Tamandua tetradactyla: one gene and its partner. The protein of the gene in region 2 interacts with the protein of the main gene of each other region in a pairwise test. Links are inferred from orthologs where the notes say so. Each region holds a gene or a part of one and is shown on either strand. Other genes may lie near its edges. The genes, in order: SKAP1 and PRAM1.

Region 1 (15,855 bases), on a different chromosome or scaffold from region 2:
AATAAATCATTTTTTTCAAAGCCAACATTCTCCAGGAAAATTTGCTTCTGGATCTAAGACTACATTGTTCCTGAGCCCAGGTCTGTCCTATCCTCCATGTAAAAGCCAGGTAGTAAAATTAAACAGTGGAACTCAGACTCCAAACCTGAAAAGCCATCTGTTATAATCACCTAATCTATAATGCAGCACTGACAAACTGGAAAAGCAAGCAATGGACTTGGAAACACAGGGGAAATAAATATGAATAAATGTAGCAGAAATTATACGATTTGTAGGTTGTAACGGCTTATATCATGTGAAAAAATTAGATTATGATAATTATGTCAATATGTTAAGATGCTCAGAAAACAGTAAAACTTGAAACTTGCCTCCTTATTTCTTCTATATTTAAAATGATTTTTAAATTATCTAAGTCCTATACTTATGTAATGAGGTGAAAATGTTATTAATTGCTGGCACTACAATTTGTATAACAGAGAAAACTGAGTTGTTTGGCAAAATAATTGGCTGTGTGTGAGTGTTAGTGGGAACTGAACTAAACAGATAGTTAAACTGCCTTTTTCAGGTAGCAAAGAGAAAAACAATTTTTTTGTTTTGCTCCAAAGAAGAGAAAGAGTGCAATGGAAAGGCATGTGGCTAAGAACTTCATCAAATGAAGGGCCAAAGGGCACTTGTTGATGACTAGGGTAGCAGAGAGGCATTTTAGGAACAGAGATGCCTAACACTCGTATTGAAATTGTGTACATTACTACAATGCAAACTCCTCCTCCTCTCCCTGCACCCCCTGAATCTCCCATCTTCTACATTCACAAGGACTTCATGTGGCTAGAGTTTGGTGGAAGCTAATGAAGATGGTAGGTCTAGACCAGGGTTCCTCAACCTCAGCACTATTGACATTTTGGGCTGAATAATCCTTTGTTGTGGTGGGGCTGTCCTGTGCATCAATGACCAGCATTCCTGGCCTCCATCCAGTTGTAACAACCAAAAAAATCTCCAGACAGTGCCAAAAGTCCCCTGGGGCACAAAATCACCCTCGTTGAGAACCACTGGTCTAAGCCTACATAACCAAGGACAAGGAGCATATGTAGAAGCAGGGAATCCTGGAAGGAAAGGTGACCTTGAGAATGTACACTCCTTGAGAAGTAGCTGGATCTTGAGGACCACTGTGGACTTCCACAAGGAATAGATCTTAAAGTTCAAGAGGTGTGGGAAACCCTCCTGTCATCTAGTTTATACCCACAATGGAGCTCAAATATTTTTATACTTTTCTTTTCATTTTAGCAAACAAAATGGGAGAAGGGAGAGAGTAAATCTCCAGTTTTCTTTTGATTAAGAATAACATAAAAATACTTTTTTTTTCACACCTACATACACAAAAGCACTCCATAACAAGGTAAGAACACATACTTTCCTGAAACATGCTCAGTCATACCCAAACAGACTTGGAAAAGTTTCAAGTAACCTGACTCTCCAGAGAATCCCTTTGTTACAAAACAAAATTTCAACTGAAACATCAGATTATAAAAATTATATGTTGGAAGAATCTACAAAAGTATAGAAAATTCAAAGAACTACAGGCTATGTGATGAAAAAAGCAGTAAAGGTAACTTCCTCCCTCCATCCACCATACAGTTTCTCTTGGAAATGATCACTGGACTCTGATCTGAGAAAGGAAGAAAATGGAAGAGACTCTGAAAGAACCCCCTACAAGCCTCAACTAATTTCGAGAAACAAGGATAGACCACTAATATGAAAAAGGCCATGGCAGAGAGTTTTCCTATGGAGAACAGTTAAGAAACAGAGGCCAATAGGACTATCTCAAAATTTTTTTTAAATCATTTTTAATTGTATTTGCCAAAAATACATAAGGTGTTTGATTCATGCCAAATATTGTTCTAAGTTCTTTTCAAATATTCATTCCTTTATTCTTCATATAAACTCTATAAATTTTCAAATTTATTTATCATTAATTTAAGAAGCCACAAGTAGCTGATGGGTAGTGAATTGAACAGCGCAGCCTAGATATCTAAGAGATATTATTTATAAGAATGAAAAAGCCATGGTCAGAAAAAAGTAAGCGATGAGCAGATTAAACAGAAAAAAATATTAGTATTGCTATGGTTTAAAAATATAATAAAATCAAAAATCATTCTTAAAATCTAATACACAGACTAAAAACATAAGTGACTCTCTGGATCCAAATATCTCAAATTATATCAACAGTTTCACATTATACACTGGAGGAAGGAGCCAAAAAGCACCATTTCATTCTTTTTTTTTTAATTAATTAACGGAAAAAAAGAAATTAACCCAACATTTAGAAATCATACCATTCTACATATGCAATCAGTAATTCTTAACATCATCACATAGATGCATGATCATTGTTTCTTAGTACATTTGCATCGGTTTAGAAGAACTAGCAACACAACAGAAAAAGATATAGAATGTTAATATAGAGAAAAAAATAAAAGTAATAATAATAGTAAAAAAAAAAAAAAAAACCTATAGCTCAGATGCAGCTTCATTCAGTGTTTTAACATGATTACTTTACAATTAGGTATTATCGTGCTGTCCATTTTTGAGTTTTTGTATCTAGTCCTGTTGCACAGCCTGTATCCCTTCAGCTCCAATTACCCATTATCTTACACTGTTTCTAAGTCCTGTACCATTTCATTCTTAATGTTGCTAACCAGAGGAAAATGGTTCAATACTTCGGAAATCCTAAGAGGTAAACCACCAGTGGAATAAAAACAGGATGTCTAACTTTTAAATCATTCAAAGAAAAAAATTAATTTCTAAGAAAATGCTCCAGAGACAACAGCAGGTAGAAAATATTAAGTGGAAAATCAATATACAAAATTATTATGCACAATATGTCCCAACTTTTAAAGTATGTACATATAATAAAGAGTGAAAGAAAGACAAGGCATTTAACAGTAGTTGACAATGGGTGATTGTATATTATTGTTTTCTAAACTTTCTACATTGAGCATTATTGCTTTTATAATTATAAAAAATTATAATTTGGTCCTGGCTCACCTTTCAGAATTCAAATGACCAATAACCTAATCTATGTGAGAGCCAACCCGGTTTAAGAAATAAAGCAAAATAAACTCTGAGCAGGCAAAATACATATCACAAAACCCATGCACCAAGCCTGGGTACTCTGTTTATTAAGAAAGTATTTCATACTCTTCTTTCATGCTGATCTTAATTCCAACAAGCTTGCTTTCTGATGTCCAGTGACATTAGGGATGTAGACACACTGACAGCAGTGCAGAGTGATAGGTTTCAGCCAAACAGCAGGAAAAATGATAAACTTAAAAATTAAAAAGTTAAAACAAAAAAAAAAACTCAAAAAGCAGTCCACGGGAAATTATGACAAAAACATCCCTAAACAATTCAATATATCTCCATAGAACATGATAAAAGCAACTCTGAGTTTTTAAAAAAAATACATTGAAAGGAGGTCCATTTGAATACAGACTGGTCCACTGAAGTTATGAAAGTTCTTGATGCATTTCAGAGAAAAAAGAGATCACAAATGTTTAAATTTAAAAGTCAGAGTGCTTGAAGAGAAAATCCTCAACCAACCAGAGAAACTCAGGCCTACAAATTCCATATAGTTGTTGCTTTACTATATTGAAAAGGATTTCATGGTTGGCTGCATCAACCAATACAAATCTGGATAACAACTGGAAGGAAATGATTCATGGTTGCTTCTTTCCATAGAAGTTTAAAAATAAGTAACCACAGGCATATCAGAATCAGCATTAACTCAGTGACTACTACTAAATGCAGCCAGGTTATAGATGCTATTTTGGCTTAAATCCATATCCCAAGAGGATTTAGTTACCACGTAGGTGGTTGAAGTCTATTAGCTAATGGGGTAAAGTCAACCAGCCCCATTCCATCACACTGGAAAAACTGTGACCCGGGAAAAAGTTTATTCCACCTCCTTCATTATTTGCCTCTTCTGTTTCTGACTTCAAAAAATGAGGCTAAAAAGACAAGGAAGAAACTGATTATATTTCTATCTGAGGAACAAAGATGATGCAAACTGGCAGCACTTCACGCTTTTGTTTTCAGCCCAATTATCACAAAACAAAAAAACAAAAAGATAACTTCTACATCTGAAGGAGAACACTTACTTGGCAAAGACCTGAATACTTCCTTCTCTTTCAATTAGGAAAAGGCTGCTTCAATTTACTTATCTATAAGGTACTTATTTGCTGATATGGAGCTAGTTACTATTTCTATATGAGAGAATGACAGAGTCTATCTGAGGAAGCTGTTTCCTGAGCTGTTCTAGAAGCCTCTCCGGCTTTTGTATTTGCCAAAATTCCAATGAAGTATTTTTTCTTGTTTTTTAATTCCCTACCGTCTACCCATCTCCAGGGTTAACAAGAGAAAAACGTAATCCCAAGTATGGTCAGAGGGCCTTTAGCATTCTGTACACTCTTAGCTTCTATCTGCCTTTTTGTTGGTTTGCTTTAAAAATAATAATAATAATAACCTTACTAGTTGTTTTTGGCTGGTTACAAAAAATCATAATTATTGTCACAATTCAAACAATGTGAAGATATATGAAATAAAAATTAATAATCTCTGCCTTATCCACCCTTTCACTTACCTCCCAACGAAGCTAAAATTAACATTTTGGAGTATATTGTTCCTACTTCTTCTGAGACTTACAGAAACATATAATATATAGGAGTTTTAGTTTTGTTTTGTTTCAAACAAAAATAGGATATTAAACGTACTATTATGCACCATGCTTTTTAGTCTTAACATGCCATGAAAAGAAAAAAGAAACATGCCCTGGCCATTTCCCAAGTTAATATATAGAGATACATCACACATTCTTCATGGCTGCAAAGTTTTCCATATTCTGGATGTTCCATGATTTATTCAACCATCGCCTCATCCTTTCCCAACTCAAGGATATTCAAGAGAGATCCTTGTGCACATACTTCATGTACTTTAATTTCAGTAATGCAGTTTCCTAGAAGTGGAATTTCTGAGTCAAATGAAGCATTTTTAATTGTTTAACATTTTATCCTTAAGCTAAATTAGTTTTAAACCTTCAGAATTTGTTTTCTCTTCTTTATTATGCAAAATTTCAGCATTAACCTTTCACAATGTTTTGCATATTTTATTTTTAAAAGCACATGTTATGTGAAAAGCATGCTCCTGTCATTTATGCCCATGTAGTTATAAATAAATAAATGCCTGTGTTATGGCTTTGATGGTCAGCATTAAATCAGTGTGCTAACACTTATGCCTTGGTTTGTGAAAGTAGTAAGTCATCATGGAAACTCCACCCCCCAAGGCCATGCGGCAGCTCTAAAATTGCAGCTCTTACATCCTGTTACTCCCTCCAACTGAGTGACTAGAGATCAGGACCTACATATTTTCTAATTGTCAACAGTTAACCTTAAAAAGGGAGGGAGAGACAGTAAACAGCAACAGGCAATAAACTGATAGCCATTTTGAGTTTCTAGTATCCACAAATTATTCATAATACAGTGAATTATTCTGCTGACAGAAACCAGAGATTGTGTTCCATAAAAATAAAACCTATAACCAATAAATTGCTATTTTTACACGAGCCTTTCAAAAGCATATTCTTCAAACACTGAAATAGAATTACTGATTGAATCCCACTTTACATTTTTTTCTCTACTTCAGATTCAGGCTCTTAATTGCAAACTTAAAAAAAAATACATTAACCAATTAAGCTCCTTAAAATTTAACCTCAGACTCCTCATAAATTCCAAAGACCTGCGCACCAACCGAGATTGTTAAGATGCAGCAAGTTTGATATAGAAGTATGTGACATGCAATTAATCTCCATTCATACCCTGCTCTACTTGTCAGCAAACAAAGGTTCTACTTTAGAAGGAGATCTGAAGACTTCAATTAAAAAGTCAGCTAACAAGAAAATAATCCAAGTTAAAGGAAGGTGGCAGGTGTAGGAATGAGTTGTTTACCAAAGTGTCAGTTTTGAACAATAAAGGACTACACAGCAAAAATGTTAAAAGAGTGAATTTCATTGCAAGGCTCTGAAATAAAAAGAAACTTTCTACCAAGTATACACACAAAAATGAAGTATAGCTTAACAAGCTTGTAAAACAGGTTTCCTCTCAAATGCAAGATGCCAATAGAAAGAATCACGTTATATCTTTAAATGCAAAGACAGAATTAAACTTTTTTACCACAGTTTCTTCTCTCCTGAAAACCAAAAGACACTTAGAGCCTCATGTTACAGTCTAATATTGAGCCAACAGGCAACCCAACAGCAAGAGGGAAAAGGCTGGACTGACACTTCTTTTACCCTGCAACTAGTTTTCTACTCCTAAAGTTTAGATTCATTCAAATCATAATTAAAATGGATTTTGGAAATCCAAAATTTCCACACACACCCACAAAAAAGACCCTAGTTGACAGTTTTTACATAGAAGCAATACAGGATGGAAAGAGTGCTACAAATCCAGACTTGCCAAATATTTGATTAGGAGGCATTTATACCAAGATAACAAGGTAATGGAGATATAAAACCAATTAAATTGAGGGAAACTGAAAAATAGCTGCTTGCCAAAAGTATGACCTCCCAAAGCAGGCCATCTGTTAAATATGTGTCAAATATGTCTCTTAGATGCCAAAAGGCTTAATTTTGAATAGTTTCCTCCTGGGATTCCTATGCAAGGGCAGATTCCAGGCCTCTGTTCTTCCTAGAAGGTCAATTACAGGAAAGCAAGTAAAAATTACTTTCACCATGAAAAGTGTCAACTGAGATACCATATTGTATACAGCGAAGAGTCTCTTCTGGGTGCTGGAAAGAAGTATGTGCTGAGTGTTAGCATGGCCTTAATTTTTAAATGATGGTTGGACACTAGAAAAGGAAGAAATGCAATAGTGAATAGGGAATATTAGTTGGCCCTGGTTTGATAATGAGACCCTTAGAGGGCTGCAGGCTGGAGATGGAGCCTGTGGTTTCAGCGCTGCCCAAACCTCGCACTAACCACGAAGCCTTGGCCAGCAGAGGATCCCCATAAACTCCTCACAGTCCCTCTGGGGAGGCTCGGGGCCTCTAACCAAGAAGATGAGGGTCCTCTGGGAGAGGTGAAGAAGTACTGGGAGGAAGGGTGAGGGGGGCGAAAGCCTACAGGTGCAGGGCGGAGACTTGAGGGAGAAGAGACAAGTGGAAGACGAGGCAAGGTGGCATGGGGGACTAAGAATCTGGCCTGAATCCTGGGAGGTTCAGTGGTGCGTGTGTGTGAGAGAGAGTGAGACTAGAGAGAACCAGAGAGAGAGAGACTCTGAGGTGAGAGGATGAGAGCCCGGTCCTGGGGAGTTGAGAACTCTAAAAGCCTTGAATGTTCTAGAAAGAGGTGAGTGATGGCGCGGCCCAGAGAGCGTGGCCTTGGAAGCCCCGATGCCTCCTCTCCTCCCTTCAGGTCAGCGCCTGTGGGCTTCGCGGGGGGTCGAGGGAGAGGCCGGGGCTGAGCCAGGGCGTTACCTTCCAGGAGCCAACGGATGTCCTCGGGGAGGGTGGCGGCGGCCTGCATTGCGCGGGGGCGGTAAGGAGGCCCGAGGGTGAGGCGGGAGCGGGCGCGCGAAGGCCGTGCGCTGAGGCGCGGGCGGGCGGCGGGGGGAGCGCGGGGCAGCACCTGCACCCCTGGCGCCGCCGCTCGGCGGCTGCCTCCGCTCGCCCAGCCGCAGGGCGGGGCGCCGGCCCGGGGCGGAGCCTGGGGAGCCGCGGGCGCAGCCCGGGGGTGGGCGGTGCCCTGAGGCCCGCAGGTGGAGGGAAATGGGGCGGTGGGCGGTGCCCTGAGGCCCGCAGGTGGAGGGAAATGGGGCGGTGGGCAGAGCTGGGAGCCCCGCGCCAGGCAAAGCCAAAGGGTGACCGCTCCAGGCCCCCGCCGAAACAAAGGCTTTGGTCAAAGGAACCCTGTCTCTGAGACTCTCCATCCTAAGCACCGGACGGTTGGTCTCAAGGTGAGAGGATTAAAAGCAACCGTGGGGCCCAAAATAGGGTGAGGAGGAGGAAGAATCTGAAGGAGAGTTTAGTCCGAGTCAAGCGTAGCACCGTTCAACCCCCGATCCCGTCCACAACGTCCATGCCCGGGAAACTAGGACAAAACTTTCCCTCTCTCAGGCAAAGCTCCCATGCTTAAGGAAAATGACCTTAAATCCCAATAAATACTACAAAGCCACCAGCATTTGGGAGAATAGAAGTTGGAGCGGAACAGGGAGTCATCCGAGTGTCCCTTCCTCCTTAAGGCTGAAAGATGCAGGGAATGGAAGGGGTGGCCTGGGGGAAGCTGAGGGAGAAGGGTAGAGGGCCCTTCTCCTCCAAGATCTAATACGGGGAGGAGAGTGACAAGATTACAGAGAACAGTGTTCTCTCAAAGTACAATAGGCATCAATATCCTGGTTGCGATATCACACCGTGGTATTGAAAGATGTTACTACTGGGGGAAACCAGGTGAAGGAGCACAGGGTCTTCCTCGCTGTGCATTATTTCTTAAAACTGTATGTGAATCTACAATTATCTGAAAACAAAGAGTTTACTTTAAAAAAAAAAAAAAGTACAGTAGGCCAAGCACCTTGAGAAAGATGCAAGGTGCCATGGGAGATAAAAGAAGACAGATGTAAGAAAAGGAGAAAATGCAGGTACATGTGACATTTGAGGTGGGCTCTGAACAACATACGGAATTTTGAAGGGTCAGGAGGGCTGTCCAGGTGGAAGGGCCAGAAAAAACGAAGATGAGAAAGCCTTCCTTTCAGGCAGCAGCTAGTAGCTAGTGTTGGGAAACTAGGGTTGTTAAGATAATTTGAAGCTCTATTGTGAAGGACCTTGAATATCAGAATCGGGATTTTGGACTCAATTGAATGGGCACTGGGGAGCCATTGACAATTTTTGAGCTGCGGAGAGACCTAAATAGAACCCTTGTGTAGCATGTGACCTCACATACATCTCTGCACCTCTGTGGTTTTCCTTCTTTGTTAAATGGGGTTTCTATTCTCAGACTCGACCCACACAGTGTGTGGGAAGGATGGGGGACAGTAAGAGAAAGGACAACAGGAAGAGGGATGAAGTGGTTTTACAATAGCCTCAGGGGGAATAAAGACTGACTCAGGGAGGTGTTGAAGGAAACAACAAGGAGAAACCATCCTTAAGGACACATGGTAGCAGTGCAGGCCCCGCTAGCCTACTTTCCCCTGGCTGAGATACAGCCTTAAGGTTGGGGGCTTAGTCTTTTAAAGTGTGCAGTGGGGTTGAGCCATCTTTACTGTCTGCCTCCTGAGATTTGAAGAGAAAGAGTACCTTGGTTTCAGGATTATAGGCCTGCACTGCTACCACAACGGAGAGGTTGGGAGCAGAAGCTGGCTCCTTCCTGCCGCAGAAAAGTGTAGCAATGGACAGACTGGCATTCTCCAGGCTTCTGAGCAGTACCAGGTACCTCCTGAGGCAGTTTCAGCTGCCCCGCTGCTCCTTCCATAAAATTGTAGTTACTTTTTTAGTACTTAGGCAAAGAAAGGTAATGAGAGCTCTGTATTGTTGTCATAATTTTTTTTGCAAATCTACAACTGTTCTAAATTATAAAGTTTATTTCTAAAAAAAAAACAGCAAGGGAAACAAAGTTCCTCCCATATGTAAGCCCAGCACTTTGCCTTGTTTCCCTCTCAGGGATGGAAGAAACTTTGACAAACCCCATTCTGCAAGGATATTGTGTCATGTGCTAATATAGGCTACAAGCTGATAAGTTATTTGGTAAGGAGCAATACACCCAGGTAATTGTACATCCTCACAGGTTTCACTCACTGCCTGTCATAGCTTACTAAAGCAAGTGAAACAGCAGAATTTGCAACATAGGTATTTTACATCCATTCTTCCCCGCAGGAATTTCTGGGTTTTAGGAGATGGAGGTGGAGGGAGGTGCAGGTTGGGTAATGTGTGGTGGGTGACTGGCAGATTCCAATACGGTATTGTCATGTTGCATCAAGGTTCCTCATTGCAGACAGAAACCTGCCTCCGCACATGAGCGCAGCCCCTCCTTAATCATCTGAGAACCTGGTTCAGCGGTCAGCCTCATTCCTAATGACATTCTGTTAAATGGACAAATTCCTTTGAAGCCTTGTCCTTCTTTGAAATCCAATTTTGCAGGAAGCCAGATCTGATTTGGAGTAGCCATGGAAACCACACCGAAGAGTCTTAGAGGAGGTAAGGGGAAGCAAGGCAAAACGTGATAGTCAAGAGTCCTTTACTGCTTTGTCAGAAATATCAAAGGGATCTGGAGAGGTTGGCAGCAGACGCGTCCCTGTCCAGGTCCTGTTCTGTGTGGCTGGGTACCATGTGGCTGTCATGGAAGTAAGCAGCCAGCTGTCTCTGCATACTGGCAGGAGGATGGAGCAGAATACACAAATCCCAGGTCTGTCTGCCTCGTTCTTTTTTCCCTTGCTTTAGCCCCAATTCCAGCACGTTCTTACCAGACCCTTCCTAGCTGCCTGCCCCTTAAAAGCAAACAACAAAAGAATGGCAAGGTTAAAATACAAGACCCTCACTGATAAGAGGTCCTTTAGAGCAAAGGCCATGAAATTAATCTAAAATTCCTTGTAATTAGATAAGATAAGGATATCTAAAGAGATGCAGAGCAGCCAGGAATGAAGTCCGGCAGCAGGACATGCAGACAATATACCGCCTTGTCAACAAGGGCCTCACACTGTCAGCAGACAGAAGACAGAGAAAACACAGTCTATGCTGCTCTCTAAGCTGCTGGAGAATGCCGGCTGCATATTCTCATGCCAGGTGGGCACTCACTAAATATGCATCCGTGGGGCATCCAGAGGGATCAATCAGGAAGAAACAAAAGCATCTGGCACCCAGAATGGCATAGTATAAGAACAACTGCAAGCAAAGCAGGAGCCGGCTGGCACTCTTCTGCCCTGGGTAAAATGGATCTGAAGAGGAGACTGTGGAGGGCAGACTCTCAGGCTTTATTCTGAGCTGGTTATTGATCCCTGGATGCTGGGTCATGACACGCAGCGGAGCTGACGTCTGCCCTGTGGATGTGCAGCCGCTGCATCTCAGCCTCTCAGTCCCAACCCCATCAACCGAGTTTATTGACTCTTTTATTGACAATGCTGAGACCTAATGAGGACAAGAGCTGCACACTTCATTAAGGGCTGTGGAAGGAGAGATGATGCATCCTGTCCTGTAGATGCCAAGATCAGGCTCACCACATGCTTTGCAGGGCTCCAGAAACCGAGGCTCCTGCCACTTCTGAGGCCCAGGAGATGAGCACAAGATGCTACCTTGGGTCCATCACTTCAGTGCCCTTAAAATGTGGTATTTCTACAGCATCCAGAGACCTTACTCTTACCAATCAGGTAACCATTAAACACAGGAAAGTCCTATTAAACACACACACACAGATGCACTGCGGTGGTCACCCCTTTCCACTCACACTTCTAGATTCTCTGTGCTAATACAGGCAACAAAATAAGCAGGGTCTCATATCAGAACAGGGAACATTCCCATAAGCAAGCTATCGATAAGGCAGAGCCTCCGGACAGAACGAGGGCTATGAAAACTCAAAAGAATCTTCAAGGTAATCAAATTTAAGACGAAGAACAAGCCCACACCCTGTCCAGGACCACACAGCTCACAGGGAATGTACTGGCCTTAGAGTCCTGAGTCTCTTGTGTTTGTCCAAAGCTCTTGATGAACTTAGCAGTTCCTGGGCTGGATAATTACAGCCTGGGGATGGCCGAGCAGTTGTGTGAAACAATCATTGTTGATCCTCTTCCTCCTAAATAACATTTCTTTGTTTGTACTTTATCATATCTTTCTATTACTCCCCTTATTATTTTTCCTCTATATTCCCCAATCACTTTTTTTTTAGTATCATTTTTGCCTATCCCTTAGACCACATTAAACATTCCCCATGGGCACCGATGAACCCCACAATGGCCCTAAGGACCACAGAGGTTGCTGACGGTGACATTCTCTGTCTTTGATTGGTTCTCTTGGGAATGGGGGGAGGGGAAGCAATGGGAACTTGGAATGTGTCAACTGCAGCCAAATGACACAGCGTGCTCTCTGAGCGAACCTGGAGGTCCGCTATATGGTTAAACTGCATGGGGAGACAGGTGGTGCTAGGGCCAATTTTATGGTAGATATTTGCAAACATGTTAACTTTTGGAAACTGTAATGGAGTTTCTTTTGGGGGGCAAGGGTGTAGATTAAAGGTATTAAAACAAAATAATAGAGGGACAGCAATTTTTTAAATTATTTCTCTTAGGTTAAACTGGGTTTATTTGGTTTCTTTCCAAAAAGGTAAAAAATTCCACTGAATTGTATACTTGAAAGTGGTTAAAATGGGAAATTTAATGTTGTATATATGTTGCCATAATTAAATTTTGAACAGAAGATAACGAGAACATATTGTATAAAAAATAAAGAAGGTAAAGTTTAAGCTTCCTTGACCACCTCCTTTCTTTCTATCCTTTTTTGTCCCTCACTTTATCAAAGACCTTAGAATTCAAGGTGGGGGGTAGGTGGGGAGATTATTTACAATTTGGTAGGAAGCTCTGGCTTGCACTGCACACATGCTTTGAAGGAATGCTCACACTAAGGGAAAATGAAAAATACTCTGACAAGAATCACCAGCATTCACAAATCCAAACAGAAACACTAGCTGGAATCAGAGATCAAACGAGCAATGGTTGATTACTTCACTGTGAGAACATGGATTAAAAAATGAGGCCTGGTAGTCTGTGGACGTCCTATGTAATGACGTTTAGGTCACCAAAATACATTCTTTCCTTGCCTTCTGAATTGTGTTAATGTCCATTTTGTTTTTTTCTTTCTAAAATATCTATTCCTAAACATCCTTGGCCTCTCCTTTCAGCAACATTTTGTAACCGTGTAAACCATGCTTTCTTTCACATACAAGACAGTACAGGCATACCTCATTTTATTGCACTTTGCTTTATTGCACTTCGAGGATATTGTCTTTTTTTTTTTTTTACAAATTGAAGGTTTATGGCAACCCTGCATCTAGCAAGTCCATCAGCATCATTTTTCCAAGAGCATGTGCTCACCTCATGTCTCTGTGTCACATTTTAGTAATTCTCAGAATATTTCAAACATTTTCATTATTATTATTATATCTATTATAGTGATCAGTGATCTTTGTTACAATTTTAATTGTTTGGGAGTGCCACGAACCACACTCATATGAGATTATGAACATCATTGATAAATATTGTGAGTGTTTTAACTTCTCTACCCTCTGTTACCTATCTCTATTCCTGAGACACAACAGTATTGATATTTGTCCACTTAATAACCCTGCAATGGCCTCTAAGTGTTCAAATGAAAAGAAGAGTTACTGCTCTTTCACTTTAAATCAAAAGCAAGAAATGATTAAGTTTAGTGAGGAAGGCATGTCAAAAGCCAAGATAGGCCTCTTGCTCCAAACAGTAGTTAACCAAGTTGTGAATGCAAAGGAAAAGTTCTTGAAGGAAATTAAAAATGCTACTCCAGGGAACATGCAAATACTAAGAAAATGAAAGATCCTTATTGCTGATAGGGGGAAAGTTTCAGTGGTCTGGATAGACAATCAAACCAGTCACAACATTCCCTGGAGCCAAAGTCTAATCTAGAGAAAGGCCTTAACAATCTTCAGTGCTATGAAGGCTGAAAGAGGTGAGGAAGCAGCAGAAGAAAAGTCGGAAACTAGCAAAGTGTTTGGTTTGCTAAAGCTGCCAAAATGCAATATACCAGAAATGTGTTGGCTTTTTTTTTTTTTTGTACATGGGCAGGCACCGGGAATCGAACCCAGGTCCTCTGGCATCGCAAGGAAGCATTCCTACCTGCTGAGCCACCGTGGCCCACCCAGTGTGTTGGCTTTTACAATGGGATTTATTAACTTACGATTAACAGTTCTTAGGCCATGAAAATGTCCAACTTAAGTCATCAGTAGGATGATAGGCTGCTGGCATCTGGGACACCTCTGTCACATGGGAAGGTGCATGGTCGGCGTCTACTGATCCTTCTCTGGGTTTCATTGCTTTCAGCTTCTGGCTGCTCCCTCTTTCAGCTTCTCTGGGTACTTCTTTGAATTCCATCTCTCAGTTTCTGTATGTGTTTTGTCCTCTTATAAAGGACTCCAGTCAGAGGATTCAGACCCACCTTACATGAGGTAAGTCCCATCTCAATAGAAATAACTTAATCAAAAGTTCCCTCCTACCATAGATCTGCACCCATAGGAATGGATGAAAAGAACATGGACTTTTCTGGGATACTTTGTAACTTCAAACTACCACACAGAGATTGGTTCATGAGGTTTAAGGAAAGAAAGAATCTCCATAACAAAAGCACAAGGAGAAGCGGCAGGTACTGATGTAGAAGCTGTGGCAAGTTATCCAGAAGACCTAGCTAAGATAATTGATGAAGATGGCTATACTAAACAACAGATTTTCAATGTAGACAAATCAGCCTTCTATTGGAAGAGGATGTGGGACTTTCGTAGCTAAAGAGGAAAAAACAATGCCTGGCTTCAGAGTACCAAAGGACAGGCTGAAGCTCTTGTTATGGGCTAATGCAGCTGGTGACTTTAAGCAAATGCTCATTTACCATTCTGAAAATCCTAGGGCCCTTAAGAATTTTGCTAAATCTATATTGCCTGTGCGCTACAAATGGAACTACAAATCCTGGATGATGGCACATTTGTTTACAACATGATTTACTGAATATTTAAAGCCCATTGTTGAAACAGATTCCTTTGAAAATAATACCGCTCACTGACAATATACTTAGTCACCCAAGACCTTTGATAGAGATGAGTGGTGAGATTAATGTACATGTTGCAGTGTGCGTAGAAATTTATTGCATTTTTGTATATAAGTTATTTTTCACAATGAAAAAAGACAACGCACATAACTTAATTGAAAATACTTTAATGCATGCTGACCTAAAAATATCCATTCTGTAGCCCATGGATCAAGGAGTAATTTCAACTTTCAAGTCTTTTTATTTAAGAAGTATGTTTTGGAAGGCTATAGCTGACATAGATAGTGATTCCTCTGATGGATCTAGGCAAAGTAAATCGAAAATTTTCTGGAAAGGATTCACCATTCCAGACCCCATTAATAGGGATTCATGAATCATAATTCATAATTCGTCGGAGGAGCTCAAAATATCAACATTAACAAGAATTTAGGTGAAGTTGATTCTAACTCTCAGGAATGACTCTGAGGGGTTCAAGACTTCAGTAGAGGAAGTAACTGCAGATATGGTGGAAATAGCAAGAAACTAGAATTACAACTGGAGCATGATGATGTGACTGAATTGCTACAATCTCATGATGAAACTTTAACAGAAGAGAAGTTGTTTCTTAGGGATGAGCAAAGAACACAGTTTCTATTCCTGGTGAAGATGCTGTTAACACTGTTGAAATGACAACAAAGGATTTAGAATGTTACATAAAATTAGTTTCCTTCAATTTTGAAAGTCATTTTATGGAGGGTAAAATGCTATCAAACAGCATCACATTTCCAGTGCCTGCCCATGTAAAAAAAATAAATAAATAAACAAACAAACAAAAAAAAAAAACAGCATCACATACTACAGAGAAATCTCTCATGAAAGGAAGAGTCAATCAATGTGGCAAACTTCACTGTTGTATTTTTTTAAGAAATTGCCACCACTTTCAGCAACCACCACCCTGATCAGTCAGCAGCCATCAACATGGAGGCAAAACCCTCCACCAGCAAAAAGATGACAGCTCATCTACAGCCTACTAAAGGCTCAGATGATGGTCAGCATGCATTAAAGTA
Region 2 (16,145 bases):
AGTCCCAGACAGAAGCCAGCCTAGCCCTGGAGCCAGCCCTGGCAGCACAGTCTCCGTCACCATTGAGGACCTGCGGCCTCCCAGACGACGCCCACCACCAGGTGTCCTGCGATGGGACCTTCTGGGCTTGGGGGGTAGAGGTCACAGGCCCTGAGACAGTAGGAGTTAGGAATGCAGGATCTCTCCATACTTGGGGCCCATCCAGAGAGATGTGTATCACCATTTATCAAGCACAGCTGTATGCCAGGCTGGGGTACAGACATGGGTCAAGCCAACCCAGCCCCTGCCCACTGACAGCTCAGGTGCCTGCCGGGGAAGGCAGAGGGTAAAGGTCTCAATAGGCAATGAGCAGGGTAATTCCAGTCTCATCTGTGCCTGCTTGGGTCAAGTCCAGTGATGGGGGGGCGGGGGTCAGCATCAGCAGGGAAGAGATGGGTGACCCCCTTGTGCGTCCTGTAGGAAAGCAGGTACCCTGTTCCAGTCCTGGCTGCTGCCTCAGTTTCCCCAGCGTGCGTGATCTGGCACAGCACCTGCGCACCCACTGCCCACCCACACAGTCCCTGGAAGGTAGGGCCGGGGCAGGTATGGGGAGGAGATAGGGTGGGAGATATTAGGGTGGGGGGTAGGCAGAGGCGCAGGAGGGTCTGGGCCATCCCACCCACTGATTTGCCTTGCCTCTGGCCAGGTAAGCTCTTCCGCTGCTCTGCTCTGAGCTGCACGGAGACCTTCCCCAGCATGCAGGAGCTGGTGGCACACGGCAAGCTTCACTACAAGCCCAATCGCTACTTCAAGTGAGACCCTGATCCTCACCCCCGCCACCCCGCCCCACTGTTATGCCCCAGGCGGCTCCGCCCAACCCTGGTGTAACTAGCTACCGAGACTTGGGGGCTGGGGTGGGGTAGGTCCGGCGGTGGGTGAGGCCTCGGGCAAGCTCCGCCCTTACCTGCCTAGAAGAGACTTGCTTCCTGTGATTCGACCTGGTCTTTATTCTGGGAACCTAGTGCAGTGGCCGGGTGGGCGGAGCCCAGAAGTGGGGAGGCCATGCGTGGATGGAACCCCGCCCAATCCCGCTATTACCCCCAAGTGGAAAGTCTTAAATCAAGCTTGAGACGTTCTCATTTTCTCAGGGCTACAACCCAGAGGGTCCGGAAGGGTCACAGCCATAGTAGCGAGGGGCGATTAAGGCAAGACCCCCAAACCCTGCTCGGAGGTGGAGGAACTGCCACCTGGAAATTGGGTCCAGGTTCCCTTCCCACGCTTCCAAGGGAGGCCCCCAGGTGGCATCGGATAAACCCCCCCTTGTCGCCCAGGAAACTGAGCCCCACCCTGTGCCCTGTCTCCAGGTGTGAAAACTGCCTCCTGCGCTTCCGCACACATCGCTCGCTCTTCAAGCATCTGCATGTTTGCGCCGAGCATGCGCAGAGCCCAGCCCCGCCACCACCCCCTGCTCTGGACAAGGAGCCGCCAGCGCCCGAGCGCCCCCCGGAGTCCGACCCCTTGTCGGCGCCGAGCCTGCAGTTCCCGCTGCTCGAGCCCTTCACGACCCCCGCCCCTGCCCCTACGGGGCCTTTCCTGCCCTACTTGAACCCCACACCTTTCGGCCTAAGCCCCCCACGCCTGCGCCCCTTCCTGGCCGCCGCGCCTGGGCCGCCAGCCTCCAGTGCCGCTGTCTGGAAAAAGAGCCAAGGTGAGTGCGGGGACGGGCCGCCTGGAGGCGCGGGGGCAGGAGCGCGCCCACCTACTCCTCCCAACTCTAACCTCTGACTTTGATCCGTCCTTTTCACTTCAGGTGCTGGGGGCAGCCCCAGAAGACCCCAGGGCGGTTCCGAGGTGCCCTCAGGTGCGTGCAGGTGACCAGCAGGGAGGGATGGAGGGGCTCTGACGTGCCTGGCTGGGCCTTGGTGTATGCTGCGAGGTTGGCAGGGCCCGCGCCTTTGCCAGATGACCGGGAATGCCCCCGAAATACAGGATTTAAAAATTCCCGACACCTGCGCTTTCCTCCTCGCCGACTTTTCTGCATAAAACGCGCGCCCGGTTCAGCTCGGAGCCGTTCTTTCCCGCTTCAGTGAAACCGGGGATGGGGGGGGGGGGCGCGCGAATAAGCTAGGCTTGGCACCCCCTAGTCCCAGTAGTAAACAGCCAGAGATTCGGATCCAGCCAGGCCAGCCCCGGCGCCGAGGAGCTGGCAGGGGGAGGTCTGCCTCGCCCAAGTCCACCATCCTCCCGGGTAGATGGGTCCTCCGGGTTGGGGTCCCTGAAATGACGGGTCCCGCCTGCCCACAGGGCACGCGGCCCCAAGCCGCATCGTGTGGGAACACACGCGCGGCCGCTATTCGTGCATGCAGTGCGCCTTCTCCACGGCCTCGCGCCCTGCAATGACGCTACACCTGGAGGACCACCGCCCCACCGCCCTTGTGGCTCCAGCGCCTGGGCCGCCGCGCCCTGAAGCCCCGGCGGGTAAGGTCCTGGACCCCGCGGGTGGGGAGGACATGAGGGCTGCAGCGCCAAGCGCCGCTGAGACCCAGGCACCCCCTCTTCTGCCCCATCCAGACCCAGCCTCGCTCGCACCCATGGTATCGCCACCGCCGCTGCTGTCCGAGGGAGAGTGTCCAGTTTTCTCGCCACTCTGAACAGGGCCGCATGGATGGGGGTAGGGGGGGACAGTGAAAGGAGAGACGTCATGGTTTGTGGGCAATTTTGTAATTTGAGGGGGGCTGAGGAGATGAGGGAGGGGGGCACAATAAAGGAGCTGATGAGCAGGGCTGTGCCATGTTTGGGTCCCTTGCCTTTGCAGTCTTCACCCACACAGTGGGCCACGGTGTAGCAGTCCTGGGGAGCTCATGGCTTGGGAGAGAGCTCCTCGAGGCCATTCTGTGGGTACAGCTGCATCCTCACAGCCCACCTGTGTTGCACCTCAGCACTGGAGCCCAGGTCTCCAAGTCCCATGCCACCCGCTTCATCTGGGCCACTGTCTTGCCCTATGATTTCCAGAAACCAGATAGGATGGAATTTCCAGTTTTTTTTTTTTTTTTAATTCCACGACTCAGGAGGATATGGTAGGCGGCTGGTGCTGAGAAAGTGCTGGGGTTGGCCCAGGCTGCAGCTCCCCATATCCTAAGGCCAGTGCAGACTCCTAAGGAAGGGAGAATCCTTTGCTGGGGTCAGGCTGGATGGGGTTCAGGCCTGGTCTTCCTGCTGCTCACATCCTCCACGCCCTTGTCCCCTGCTGCCTTCTTCTGTGTTCCCCCACTGGCCCAGCTCTGAGGAGGGAGAAGGGAAGGGGTCAGGCCAGTCCTGGGGAGCCTTGGCTCCCTCCTTCCCCCTCCCCAATCTGTCCTCTTTCCAGTCATGAAAGCCAAGCCAAGATGACATGAAATCTGGTGCCACACTGCTGCCCTAGCCCTGCTTCAGCAGAACCCAGCTGGCCATGGCTCCTGAGCATGGAAGTCCTGTGTACCTGCTGGATGGTGGTTTTACCTCTGCCTCTATCTTGTTCCCATCCATCCCCTTCTCACCAGCCCCCATGGCCCCCCAGCCTGGGCCTGAACTCCCCCTCTTCAGGTACCCACAGCTACCCCTCATGCCCTTCTCCAGCCTGAGAGCCCCTGGAAACACAGGGGTCTCTTCTGTAAAGGATAAATCCAGTTGCACCCCTCCCCTGTCTTGTACCATCCATTGGCTCCCCGTGGCCCTCCAAATGAAGACACGGATCTAGTAGACCACAAGGCCCCTGGTTGAGTCTCCTCACCCACCCACTCCCAGGACCACACTAACCATCTCCTTCTATGTCCTCTTCATCTCATCCTCCTAAGGAGCAGAGACACCCCTGAGCAAGGACCTGAGCACCTCCCCAGCCTCTCCCCACCTCATCCAATCCCTTTCCTTTCCCCTGACCTCATTTTCTGAGGCCTCCTGAGTTGTCTATTCTTGTCTTCAGCTTCTGTGTCTATAGCTAACAAGACACCTGTCATCCCTGGGCTGGATCCGCAGCCCCACCCTTCCAAACTCTTCTTGTCTGCCCCTTACCGTACTGCCTGTCCTCTGCTAATGTGTCAGCCTCAGCCTCAGAGTTGGGCACCTCACAGTCCCCAGCATCGAAGCCAACCAGGTAGACGAGCAGGGGCAGCAGCTGCAGCATTACCTCGCGGTTGAACAGGTCCAGGCTCCACAGGCCCCTCCATTTCTGTGAGGAGCAGGACAGGGGATCCAGGTGCCCTTAGGACATGGCCTACCTGGTCATGGGGGCTGCCTGCCATCCCGCTCCACTCTGAAGGCCTCACCCAGGCCTTCAGGGCTGTGATAGCTGCCTCTGAGATTCAGGTGTGTCAGGCCAGGTGTCCATTCTGCCCACACCACCAGGTCCCTTCTAAAGCAGTTGTCACTCAACCCCAGCTTTGGGGCTGAATGGGCCATAAGACCTTCTGATTCTGAGCTCCTGCCTTCTCAGCCAGAGGCTTTGGAGCCATGACTGTGCTACCTTGAGGAAGATCAACCCTCCCTAGTCCTGAAAACTTGGTCCTTGTAAGGGTTAAAAAAGGGGGGTGGTGTCTGGGAGAGACGGAGAGGGGTTGGGATATGTCTGCTGAGTTAGTTAGCCACATCCCTCACTCACCCAACCAACCCATCCTGCCTGGGATCCTCCCAAGAACTGGGAGAGGAAGGGAAACAGGCTCAAGGGCCCATTTGACCAATGGGGTGAGGCCAGAAGGGGAAATTAACTAAGTAAGCCCTGACCAGCCAGGTCCACTTCCATGTCAGGCAAAACTCACCCACTGGGCACCACCCCAGAAGCTGGGCACATGTAGCCCTGCTGACTCTCAGGCAGAAAGGCCTGTGGGGCTCCTTCCCCTCTCCCGGACTCCCACGGGCCTGGGATTTTTGTTCCCCCGGTTCTAGCCCCAGGTTCTTCGTCATCTCCAGGGGATGGGCTCTGTGTTTCTTGTGCACCAGGCCTCCAACCCTGATCCCTGCATCAGGCCCCTCTTTCAGGCACCCAAAAATCCGGGTAATGCTACTTCCCAAATAACCTGTCTGTGCCTTTCCAGGGAGACCCAGAGTCAACACCTTGGTCCAGGACCCTCCCCTGCACCTGTGTACACAGAGCTGCCCTTCCCTCGGGACTATGAGTTCCCAGCTCCCCACTGCCCTTGGAGCCAGCTGGAACTCTGCCTTGGGAGCTGGGTCATGACCTGGACTCCAGCAACCACCCCATCCACTCCAAAAACTACATCCAACCTTCACCCCATCCTCACTCACTCCTGCCTTTGTATGCTTCTATGGGAAGCCTTCCTTTCCTGACCCCAGCACTCCCTTCTGGGCTCCTGCAGCCCTTGCCCTTCCTCTGGCCAAGCCATGACCCTATGGAGAGACACATCCCACCACCAACTCCAGGATGTCCCAAAGGCTGAGTCCAGGAAGGGGCGCCCTGGAGAACATGAATGAGAGGCGAGTGCAGTCCCGATCCCTGCATACACCAACCTGCTCCATGCATGGGAAGGCTGGCCAGAGAAGCAGGTTCATGTTGATTCGTGTGCCTCACTGAGCAGGTGTCCAGGACCAGCTCCGTCACCTGTGGGTGGTGGCTCGGTTACCTTCACCCCGGGCTGGAAGGGAGAAGGTGGAAGCTACTGGGCACACATCCCCAGACCCCGCTCCTGAACTTGGTCCGACCTCCACCCACCCCCACTAGCCTCAAGCCCAGCAGGTGCTGGGGCTCCTGCGCGGGGATCTGTCATGCCGGCTTCAGCTCTTATGCACAGTGGACCTTCTCACACCGAGGGCTCAGATCCCAGGCACCCCAATACCCAGACCCCTCCCCAGCCCGCAGAGTTCCGAACCCATGCCCCACACAACCTCCACTTCCCAAGGCAGAGCTCAGCCTGCGCTCACTTTTCTGGACTTCCGGGAACACAGCTCCAAATGGAGCCGCTTGTTCTTGCGGGAACTGCTGTCCACACAAAGAGGAGGTGAGGGGGAGCCTGCGCAGCCACCCCCACCTGCTGGGGCCCCTGCAGGCAACACAGGGACTTGCCCCAGGGAGTCCTGTCTGGAAGCAGGGAGTGGGCCTTGAGGGACGCCATCCCTATGAGTTTGGAGCTGGAAATGCCCAGGAGTGGCTGGGCTGGGAGCCTGGGAAGTCGCCAGCTATCATTCTGTCCCCCAGCTTACCTTCACTGAGCACCTAATGTATGCTCTCAACTACTAATTGCTTGTTCTTTCATTCATTCCCTCTCTCACCAAACACTATATGCTGTCCTCTTATGATCAGCCTGTGCTAGCTGGTGCGACAGATCCCAAGAGGGCCCAGACTTCGTCTTCCCTGCCTTCATGGGTCACCCCATGCAGTGCAGAGGCTCCAGAATCCCGAAGCTGTGCTTTTAAAGCAGATTTCCAAGCAAAAAGGCACATTTGTTTTCCCTTCTGCAGAGCAAGCAGTTGAAGGGCTCCTGCTCAGAATGCAAGTTCCTCAAGACAACCAACCCACCTTCCCTGCCTCCATGTTTAAATAAGCTCAAGAAAGCCCTTGCTGGGAGGCACCCCACCCCCACCCCAGCACTCTTGGGCCCGGGAGTCAGAGTTGTGCTGGGCTGTTTGGATGCAGTGTTCACAATCACATGCTGAAATGCCCTTAGCATCCACGACTCCTCAACTGCTGCCCAAGCCGAAAAGAAAAGGCTTTGTAAAGAGGCTTGTGCTTGGAATACCGTATCTCTGATTAAAAAGGCAACGACTTCAAAATACAAGGAGACAAAAAAGAAAGCCAGCCTCCATTCTCTAATAGTACTGGTCTTAATCACTGCCATCACTTCTTTGCTGACCTCCCACTCTGTCTCAGTTTTCCTCCCAATCTTCTTGTCTTTTGGAGTGATGGGGTGTCCTCAGAAACCCCTCCCCAGGGTCAGGAATTTGACACCACCCACCCACCACCGAGTCTGCCAGCCCTCTGTCCCGCGTGCCAGCCCTGCCCCGCTGCGGCTGGCTCATCTGCTGAGGGGCCTCACAGGCAGTTCCTATAACAGGGAAGTCCAGCTCAGATCTGGGAATTGGCCCACGGGGAAGTGTTGAAATGAGGCAGGCAGATGAAGCAAGAAGGGCAAACAGATGGGGCCTCCCCATCAGACCCCCCCCCCCCCCTTGGATCTCCCAGCCTCCCCAGCGGCCTCCCAAGCCCCAGCTCTGACCAGGTCCTTTCGGAGGTCCCCCTTGGGGGGCAGGAAGCCATCACGTCTGGCATCCAGTTCTCCCTGCCATCCCCAAATCCAGGACAAGCAGGGTATGGGGAGGGGGATAGCAGACAGTCAAGAAACTTGCGACTCAGTTGAGGCCCGAAGCTCAGGGTCAGTAGCAAGTGGGACGGGAGCTCAAGGGGGTTAGAAGCAACCAGCAGTATCTGGCAACTGGCTAGGGCAGTCCCCACCCCCTTTCCTTCCTCCTCTGCCCGCCCCACTCCACCGGCAGCCCCCACCCTGTGTGCTGGCCGGTGAAGCAGAAGCCACAGTTAACTTCCTGAAGACAGCAGACTCAGCTTGGGTCCCACTCACCCCATCGCCCATCACCTACTTGCAGCCATGGTGAGTGAGTCCCCAAGTTCCCAATCCCTAGGAGATCTCTGCACCTGCCAGAGGTAAGGGGTGGAGCACATGGAAATTGGATTGTCCAAGACAGGACAGGCAAAAGAGAACTGGGAACGAAGTTCAGCAAACAGGGATGCCTCATGAAAAGGCCCAGAGGCACGGAGCAGTGGAGACACCCGCCCCGCCCCCTCCCCCAGGACAGCTCGGGTTCCAAAGGGCCTATGGTCCAGATGGGACAGTCTGAAGCCACTCCCCTGCCCCCAGGCCAACATGAACTGATAGCAGGCAGATAAGCTTCCTCTGTGGAGTCAAAGTGGGTCAGGCTCCCACCACCCCCACCTGCCCTTCCCCAGGGTCATGACCCACTGACCGTGACTTATCTGACTGTATGGTCACCTCAGAGTCCTTGCCTTGACCCACCCAGTAGGGAAGTAGCCTTAAAAGGCAGTCTTTCCAAGGGGTGACCCTAATCCATCCTCTGGATGGGGAAAAATGCACAGAGGAGCAAAGGCCTGGTGGGTCCTTCCGGCACATTTCTGTCCTCTTCCCCCTAACTCGCTGACCCCAGGCGAAGCCACGTGTGGGAGAACTTGTAGGTCAGAGAGGACCTGGCCTACTTGTGCATCTGCCTGTCTCTTGGCATCCATGATCAAGCTCACGGGGCTGGTTGCGAGGGTGCCTGGGACATACATACTCAGTGTACCACAGTTGATGCCTATGTGTCAGTCTGTCTACCAGTATGTGTGCGCATGTGCATGTGCGTGTAAAAGAAACAGTGTGTGGAGTGCTGAGAAGAGGGAATTGATTTAAAGTAGGGTAACTGAGGATGGCACATCTAATAAGGACATTTGGAGCAGAGAGATGAAGGAGGAAGAGGAGAGAAGCACAAGGTGGGGAAGTTATGTCCCAGGAGAGAGGAAGGTCAAGTGCAGAGACCCTGAGATGGGATGGGGAAGTGCTCAAATGTTCAAAGACCAACAAGGAGGCAGGAGGGGGAACTGAGATTGGGGTTGGGAGAGACCTTTATGAAATCTGGGCTTTTACTGCGGGGAGATGAGGACCCCTTGCAGGATTCTGAGCAGAGGCACGAACCAACTAGGGGCTTCCTCTGGCTGCTGTGGGGGGGACTGAGCAGGGATGGTGAGAGGGAGGGTGGGAGCCAGGGGCTAGGAGACCGGGAAGGATGCTGTTAGGATGATCCTGGGATGATGGCAGTGGCCGAGGTGAGAAGCGGTTGGATTCCAAATAAAGTTAGAAGGGGTTGGGGATTTAGGGTGCAGAAGAATGAGGCAGTCAGGGGAGCTCAGAGGTTATCCGACAAAAGGAAGGACTGAGGGAGCAGCAGTGTTGGGAGGCATATGGGTAGCTCAGCACCGATGGAGAGGTTGGGATGTATTGGACACCAGAGTGGGGAGGGTAGGGGAAACTGGGGGGATGTAGTTTACAGGAGCCTGGAGATGAAACTGTGGGAAACCTCAGCCAAAAGCGATGAGGCCAAGGTCAGGGAAGAGGAGCAAGTCTAAGGGTGGATGTGTGTGTGCACACGCATGTATATTCCCACATCTGCCTCTCAGTGACCCTCGATGTACAGGAGTCCCAGCCTGACTAGCTCCCTGTCCTGCAGGAGAGCCATCAGGGCTTCCGGAGCCTCCAAGCAAAGTTCCAGGCCTCTCAGCCCGAGTCCAGTGAACCCCCCAGGAAATCTCTAAAGCCCGAGTTCAACAAACTCCCAAAGAAGTTTCCACAGCCTGAGTCAAGCGAGCACCCCAGGAAACTCTCACCACCTGAGTTTGGTGCAGTCCCCAAGAAACCCTTGCAGCCCGAGTTTGGTGCCTTCCCCAGGAAGCCCCTGCAATCTGAGTTCACTGATCTTCCCAGGAAGCCCTCCAAACCCGACTCCCGTGAACTCTCCAAGAAGTTCCCACAGTTTGAGGCCAGTCCATTTCCCAAGAAACCCCCACAGCCCGAGTTTAGTGAGGTTCCTCAGAAGCCCCCAGAGCCCAGCACGTTTCCCCAGAAGCCCCCACAGCCGGAGTCCAGCACATTTCCCCATAAGCCCCCACAGCCGGAGCCCAGCACATTTCCCCATAAGCCCCCACAGCCGGAGCCCAGCACATTTCTCCAGAAGCCCCCACAGCCGGAGCCCAGCATACTTCCCCAGAAGCCCCCACAGCCGGAGCCCAGCACACTTCCCCAGAAGCCCCCACAGCCGGAGCCCAGCACATTTCCCCAGAAGCCCCCACAGCCGGAGCCCAGCACATTTCCCCAGAAGCCCCCACAGCCGGAGCCCAGCACATTTCCCCAGAAGCCCCCACAGCCGGAGCCCAGCACATTTCCCCAGAAGCCCCCACAGCCGGAGCCCAGCACATTTCCCCAGAAGCCCCCACAGCTGGAGCTCAACGACTCCACCAGACCACCCACAGAACCTAAGTTCAGTCCATTCCCCAGGAAGTTCCGGCTGCCTGAGGCCAGCGAAGCCACTCCAAAGCCCTCACTGCCTGACTTTAGTACTTTTCCCAAGAAGCCCCCACAGCCTGAGATCAATGAGCCTCCCAGAAAGCCCCCTAAGAAGTCCCTGACACAGCCCAACTCCTGTGAGGTCCCCTCAATGCCCTCGAAGCCCGAGTCCACTGAGCTCCACCCCCCATCCTCAAAACCCGGGTTCAGTGCATTTCCCAAAAAGGTCCTACAGCCTCACCAGAGTGACTTCCCCAAGAGGCTCCTGCAGCCCGAGTTCGGTGACCTTACCAGGACATCCTCAGAGCCTGAGTTCAGTGTATTTCCCAAGAGGTCCCAACAGCTTGAGTTCAAACCACTCCTTCACAAGAAGCCCCCACAGCCCGAGCCAAGTACCCTCCCCAGGACATCCTCAGAGCCCATGTTTAACATACTTCCTGGGAAGTTCCCACAGCCCGAGGGCCGAGGGCCACCCCGCAAGTTCTCACAGCCTGAGGCCAATGCACTGGCCAAGAAACGTCTGCAGGCTGAGTTCTTTGGTGATGTCCCCAGAAAGCCCCTACTCCCTGGTTCAGTTTCTGAGAGCTCCCTGCCCGCTGCTATCAAGGGCTCCGGTCCCAGGTTCCCGCTCAGCCCTGGTCCTGGAGTCCCTGGGATGTCCCACTCATTTGGGCGACGGAGTTTAGGGGCCCTTGCTCACAGTGGAGGGTCCAGGTTGGGCCTCAAATCCAGCTACCCACCCCGGCGGAGGCCTCTGCCCCCTGCCAGCAGTCTGGGACCCCCTCCAGCCAAGCCCCCGCTGCCCCCAGGCCTTGCAGATGTCAAGAGCTTTCGGAGACCCTTGGTGGCAGCTGCAGGTGAGTCAGGGTAGCACAGACCAAAGAGGGAGGTGGGGCTCCCTGGCGGTGCCTGCCTCCCTCTCTCCTGCTCTTCTCTCCAACAGCTCTCCAGAGGACTCGCTCTTCTGCTGGGACCATATTCCAGGCCCGACAATCAGAAGACATCCCGCAGTGAGTGTGGGAGAGAAAGGCGGACAGGCCCAGGCAGCGGGGCTGGAAGAGGCCTCATCTCTGTCTCCTTTCAGGGATCCAGATGAGATCTATGAGCTCTATGATGACGTGGAGCCCACAGATGATACAAGACCCAGTCCCAAGAGCACAGGTTTGTTGGGTACAGGGCCTGGGGCACCTCCTTGTGGCCCACAGCCAGACCCAGCCTGCCCCAGGCACCTGTGAAACATTCTCCCTGGCTCCTGGTGTAATGCCAAGCAACCATTCATCTCCCTGACAGCATCTGGGGAGAAAGCAGCAGGGGAGGGAGCCTATTAGAAAGGCCATGCCAGTTCCTGGTGGGAGGAACGGGTTTGGAAGGGGAGCCCAGAACCAACAGTCAGTGGGAAGGCTCTTGTTAGACTATGGTTTGGCACAGAGTGATTTGGCAGAATTCAGGGAGAACTGTGGAAGAATCCTGAGGTAAAAAGCCACTAGCAAGACTTGGAGTGGATTTAGGCAGGAGGGAGCTATCCTCCTTATCCATGTGGATAAGCCCCAAGTTTTGAACCTAACACTTGTGGATACAGGGGGGAACCAACTCTGAGCTGGGAACACAAGAGAAAAGAGCAGTGTGCAGGAGAAAAATGCCCGGTTCCATGTGTAGAACAGTTATGTTCAGGGGCCTGAGGAATGTCTCCCACTCTTCCAGTCTGTGGCCCCAAGTTCCAGGTCACCAAGTTGCTCTCTCCCTCTGCCCAGCCCCCTATGAAGACCTGCTTTCCTGAGCCATAGTCTCTGCTGGGTCTCCCAAGGGCCCTCCTCTTCCTTGTCCTGAGTCTCTGTCCTGGTGGGGACCACTTTACATGCCTGTTGCCATATTGGCACCACCACCTAGACACATCTTACAGATCATCTCCATTTTACAGAGGCGGGAGCTTGAGGAACTGAGAAGTGTCTTGAGCAAGCTCACATGGCCAGGAAACAGCACAGCTGAAACTCAAGCTGCTCCTAGATTCACTCTTGCCCCCATTCCCCCTCCTGCCCTTTGTCCTTCATATGAGTTTTCCCTCAGCCTTTGGAATACTACCACTCTCCCCACACTGACCCCAAAGGTCCTGATACAGAAAAGGAACTCAGCTGCCTCCTTAGTTCTAAGGCTCCTTCCTGGGCCCCTTGTGCTTCTCTGGGGCCTTTCCCCAGGAGCTTTGCAACACCTTCCAGTTAGCACATAGCCTAAGATGGGCCTCCAGGCAGGGCTCCCTTTCTCCTTCCGCTTTGGAGGAGGCTCTGTGGCTTAGTCTGGGGACCGATCTTGGAGATGTAGGACTATGGAGAAGGGAACAGTTCCAAAAGTCCCAGCCTTCTCCTGGACACTCTAGTTCCTGCAACCCTGGAGGCTCAGTAGGCCCACCCCCTACTGAGATTAGGAACAGCTCATCCCCACCTCTCCTCCACCTCTCCAGAACAGGCAGAGCAGGCCACCAGAAGGCAGAATGTAAATGGCCTACTTGGGATCACACTGCCACAACAGGGCCATAACTGCACCACAGTGCCAAGGGACACTTTCTTTCCTGCAGCTGATTTGAAGCACCAGGGGCCCAGGAAGCAGTCTTAGAATTAAAAGAGGCAGCCAGGTTCTTTCTCTGTACCAGACCTCTGGAGTGCAGGAGTTGGTCTGCTCCTGGTTGTGTGACTCCCATGGCTGGGGCAGCCTCTGAAAGTGGTGGGAGCAGTGGGAGGAACAGCATTCTGGGTGAGGCCAAGTATCCTGCTTAAGGCCTCGAGGGGCAGAAGAGCGTAGCATAGACACCAAGCATATTACAGCCCATGCGGGCACTGAACAAAATCTTCCAGGACAAAGACTGAGTCCAGAAGTTGGAATGTGATCCTGGATTGAGGCAAATAAGTTAGATTTCTGTCCTCCGTGTTTTTTCTCCGACTTGGGCCAAAGGACTGGATATCAATCTTGGTTTTCAAGACCCACTACTGGCAGGCTTATTTGTGACCTTGAATGCTGTGGAGAGGTGGGGAGCAGGTGCTGCAGCGGCTCCATTGGGTTGACTTAGCCAATGCAAGGGTGAATTGCAGTGAAAAGTCTCAAAGGTGGGAATAGCAGAAACTGGTTCTTGGATGACTTCAGGGTCTCTATAGTGTTCCAAGTCCAGGCTTTGCTAACAGACATTCAGAATGTCTAGCACCATGGTTTGGGACGATAAGAGCAAATTGACCAGTGAAGTTTCTAGGTGGCAGGTGGGTAGAAGAGGTCCAATATTCCCAAGCCTCGCAACTTCAAAGGGCAGCAACTCCCATCTTGCCTGAAGGGAGTTAGGTCTGTGCCCCCAACAGGGTACACTCACCATCCCTTTGAGGATACAACTAGGGATTAGGTCCCGAAGAAACAAGATGCTGTTTTGAGAGCCTAAGTCTTAGAAACGAAAGTGAACAGGCCTTGCACCCTCATGACTGGTAAGCCAGGGCCCTCAGAAACACACTATTCTTCAGTGGGCCACTGGTTCCTTGTCAGAGGGAACTACTGGCCTTAAGTGATGAGAGTGATGCTTTGAGTTGCTCACAGAGGAAACTAAAGCTGACGCCGTAAGTTCCAGATCCTTCACACTCAGGGTTCGAGGCTCTCGCTATAGGCCCTACCCTTGGACAGTAGGGCTCATATCCTAAAGGCTGGTCACTTGCTGGGAGGTGACATAGGACAGTCCTGACCCTGGGAGTCCCATCTTCAGCCATGCCAAGCCAAGAATCCCACCCTTCTCATAGAGAAGGCCCTTTTCACAGAGGCAGGCTCATTCGCCTGTAGGGAACACTTTTCTTTGTTTTATTTTTCACCCAAATCTCATTACAATTCCCAGAACTCAACCTGCCCTAGGAAGCAGAAGTGAAATGGCCTCAATCGCCTGCCAGTAAATGCCACCTCTACCATTTACTGCTGTGTGAGCCTGGACAGTTGGCTTTCCCTCTCTAGGCCTTTATTACTTCATTACTAATATGGAAATGCTAGTATCATATACAATCACATACAGTGGTTATGAGGACTGGAATGCATTAAGCACTTCCCACTATATCTGAAAATGTGACCATAGCTAAAAAAAAAAGAAAGGCAATCCACTAGACTCCGTAACCCGAGAGGAGTTGGAGAACAATCAGGGTAGGACTAAAAGGGGACCTGGCACCCAAAGGCTCGGGATTCTGGGGGCTTTCTTGTGAACTAATCCAGGGAAAGCCTTAGTACAGACTAAATCACCAGAGTAGAGAAGGGCTGAGCTTAGTCCCTGCCTGACTCAGTGTTCTGCCTGCCGCCAGATGAAGTGCCATCTACACAGCAAGTCTCCAGGAGGCCGCTACAAGACCCAGAGCCTAAGTAACGTGGGGCACAGGGGATGGGTGAGGGCAGAACAGGGTGGGGCTAAGCTCTTGGGAGGAGAGTGAAAGGTGGTCCCAGAGAGGAGCTCATCTTGCTCACCAGTAACCCAATTCCTTAGAAGAAAGGAGAAGGTCCCCCAGCCTCAGCAGTTGTTGCCTGCAGACCTGAAGAAGATCAGGAAGGCGGAAAAAGCTGAGAGGGAATTTCGGAAGAAATTCAAGGTTTGGGCACTATGACAAGCAAAAGTCCTGGGTGGGTTGGGTTCAGACTACCAATGCCCCATGAATTCCACCCTCAGACAGAGGACAAGGGTTCCCAGGGTGACTGCACAAACAAAACCACTCTCTTAACATCTTACCCCCAGTTTGAGGGGGAGATTGTGATTCATACGAGGATGATGATCGACCCCAATGCCAAAACCCGTCGTGGGGGTGGCAAGCACCTGGGGATCCGCCGGGGGGAGATCCTGGAAGTGATAGAGTTCACCAGCAAGGAAGAGATGCTGTGCAGAGACACGAAGGGCAAGTGTGAGTGAGTCCAGTCCAAGCAGTGCTGGGGAGGTGGGGGCTACTACTGGTTCTCCCAGAACTTACCTTCTGTCTTCTCTCTTCGCAGATGGGTATGTGCCTAGAACAGCTCTCCTCCCCTTGTGAGTGCTAGGCCTGGTGGGGGTGGGTGGGTGGGAGTGCAGTAGGCTGGGCTGGCCCTCGCTGACCCAAATATGCTCTTTCCCAGGGAAACGGAGGTGTATGACGATGTCGGCTTTTGGGGTACGTAGCCGCTCTGGGAAGACTGGAAGAAACCATGGTACCTTAGGAAGGATTAAGCCCATGTCCCCCATCCCAGACGAGGGCTGCTTGCTGTCCTGCTTATGGGGGAGGGAAGGGATTACTGGAAGCCATCCTTCCTCTGCAGACCCTCTGGAGAGCCAACCACTCCCCCAGGGACGATAAGGCTCGTAGGAGTGGGGGCCAAATCAACCCACCAACCCAGGAGTCCTGGATCCTAGCCTGGTATTCACTGAGCTGTCCAGGCTCCCATCTGCAGGCTTATCGGCACAAACCACATAAAGCCTCTCTTTAAAGTCATCTCTGCTTGTCTTTTTTTTTTTCCCTGCCAGAATGGTACACTTAGAGAAGCAAAACTGCAAGAAACTTACTAATCAAACTATTAAGTGTTCTGCAAGGTCGTCCCCCGCCCCATACTCCATAACTCTCATTCCTCAGGAATAAAAGCAAGGAAGAAGAAAAGTGCAGCAGGAAGAGGGTGGTGAGGGATCTGTTTCCAGTCTAGACTTCAATGTGGAACTCCTTGTAATCAGACAACCATGTCTGGCAAGGAAAGAGCCACCAGCAGTAGCTGTGGAACCGTGGTGAACTTAGCTTATCTATAATATAGTTAATGCCTAAGAGTTACTTCCAGAGGACCTCTTGAACAACAACAACCTTTTGTGGTTCAGATGTGGCCTCTCTCTGACCCTAAATCTGCAAGTGAAATCACTGCCCTCCCATGTGGGACATGATGTCCAGGGATAAAAGTTTCCCTGGCAGTGTGGGAGATGACTCCCAGGGATGAGCCTGGCCCTGGCAGCATGGGGTCAACAATATCACCCTGACCAAAGGGGGGAAAAGAAGTGTAACAAATAAGGTATCAGTGGCTGAGAGAGTTCAAATAGAGTTGAGAAACTGTTCTGGATGTCACGCCTATGCAAGCTTCAGTAAGATACTGCTACCTACCAAAACTCGC

Evidence for each region.
Region 1: the proteins of PRAM1 (region 2) and SKAP1 interact in binary tests that used the Homo sapiens proteins (3 or more experiments, as listed by UniProt). The two-hybrid records come from large-scale screens. The link is inferred for Tamandua tetradactyla from reciprocal best matches to the Homo sapiens genes PRAM1 and SKAP1.

What each region holds. Positions count from the first base shown.
Region 1 is NC_135332.1:29,696,899-29,712,753, forward strand, and holds the start of SKAP1 (src kinase-associated phosphoprotein 1), read right to left. Parts: upstream 7,656-15,855; 5' UTR 7,575-7,655; coding exon 7,526-7,574; intron 1-7,525. UniProt on the Homo sapiens protein: Positively regulates T-cell receptor signaling by enhancing the MAP kinase pathway. Required for optimal conjugation between T-cells and antigen-presenting cells by promoting the clustering of integrin ITGAL on the surface of T-cells.
Region 2 is NC_135337.1:84,921,071-84,937,215, reverse strand, and holds PRAM1 (PML-RARA-regulated adapter molecule 1), read left to right. Parts: upstream 1-7,386; 5' UTR 7,387-7,568; coding exon 7,569-7,571; exon of another isoform or gene 7,572-9,198; coding exon 9,199-10,888; exon of another isoform or gene 10,889-10,974; coding exon 10,975-11,041; exon of another isoform or gene 11,042-11,115; coding exon 11,116-11,192; exon of another isoform or gene 11,193-14,338; coding exon 14,339-14,396; exon of another isoform or gene 14,397-14,517; coding exon 14,518-14,620; exon of another isoform or gene 14,621-14,763; coding exon 14,764-14,926; coding exon of another isoform or gene 14,927-14,930; exon of another isoform or gene 14,931-14,985; intron 14,986-14,992; exon of another isoform or gene 14,993-15,014; coding exon 15,015-15,048; exon of another isoform or gene 15,049-15,134; coding exon 15,135-15,169; exon of another isoform or gene 15,170-15,314; coding exon 15,315-15,352; 3' UTR 15,353-15,667; downstream 15,668-16,145. Other genes in the region: ZNF414 (zinc finger protein 414), read left to right, coding at 1-101, 460-567, 686-791, 1,344-1,687, 1,790-1,840, 2,284-2,457, 2,551-2,630; acidic leucine-rich nuclear phosphoprotein 32 family member B-like, read right to left, coding at 3,178-3,260, 4,027-4,183, 5,479-5,520. UniProt on the Homo sapiens protein: May be involved in myeloid differentiation. May be involved in integrin signaling in neutrophils. Binds to PtdIns(4)P.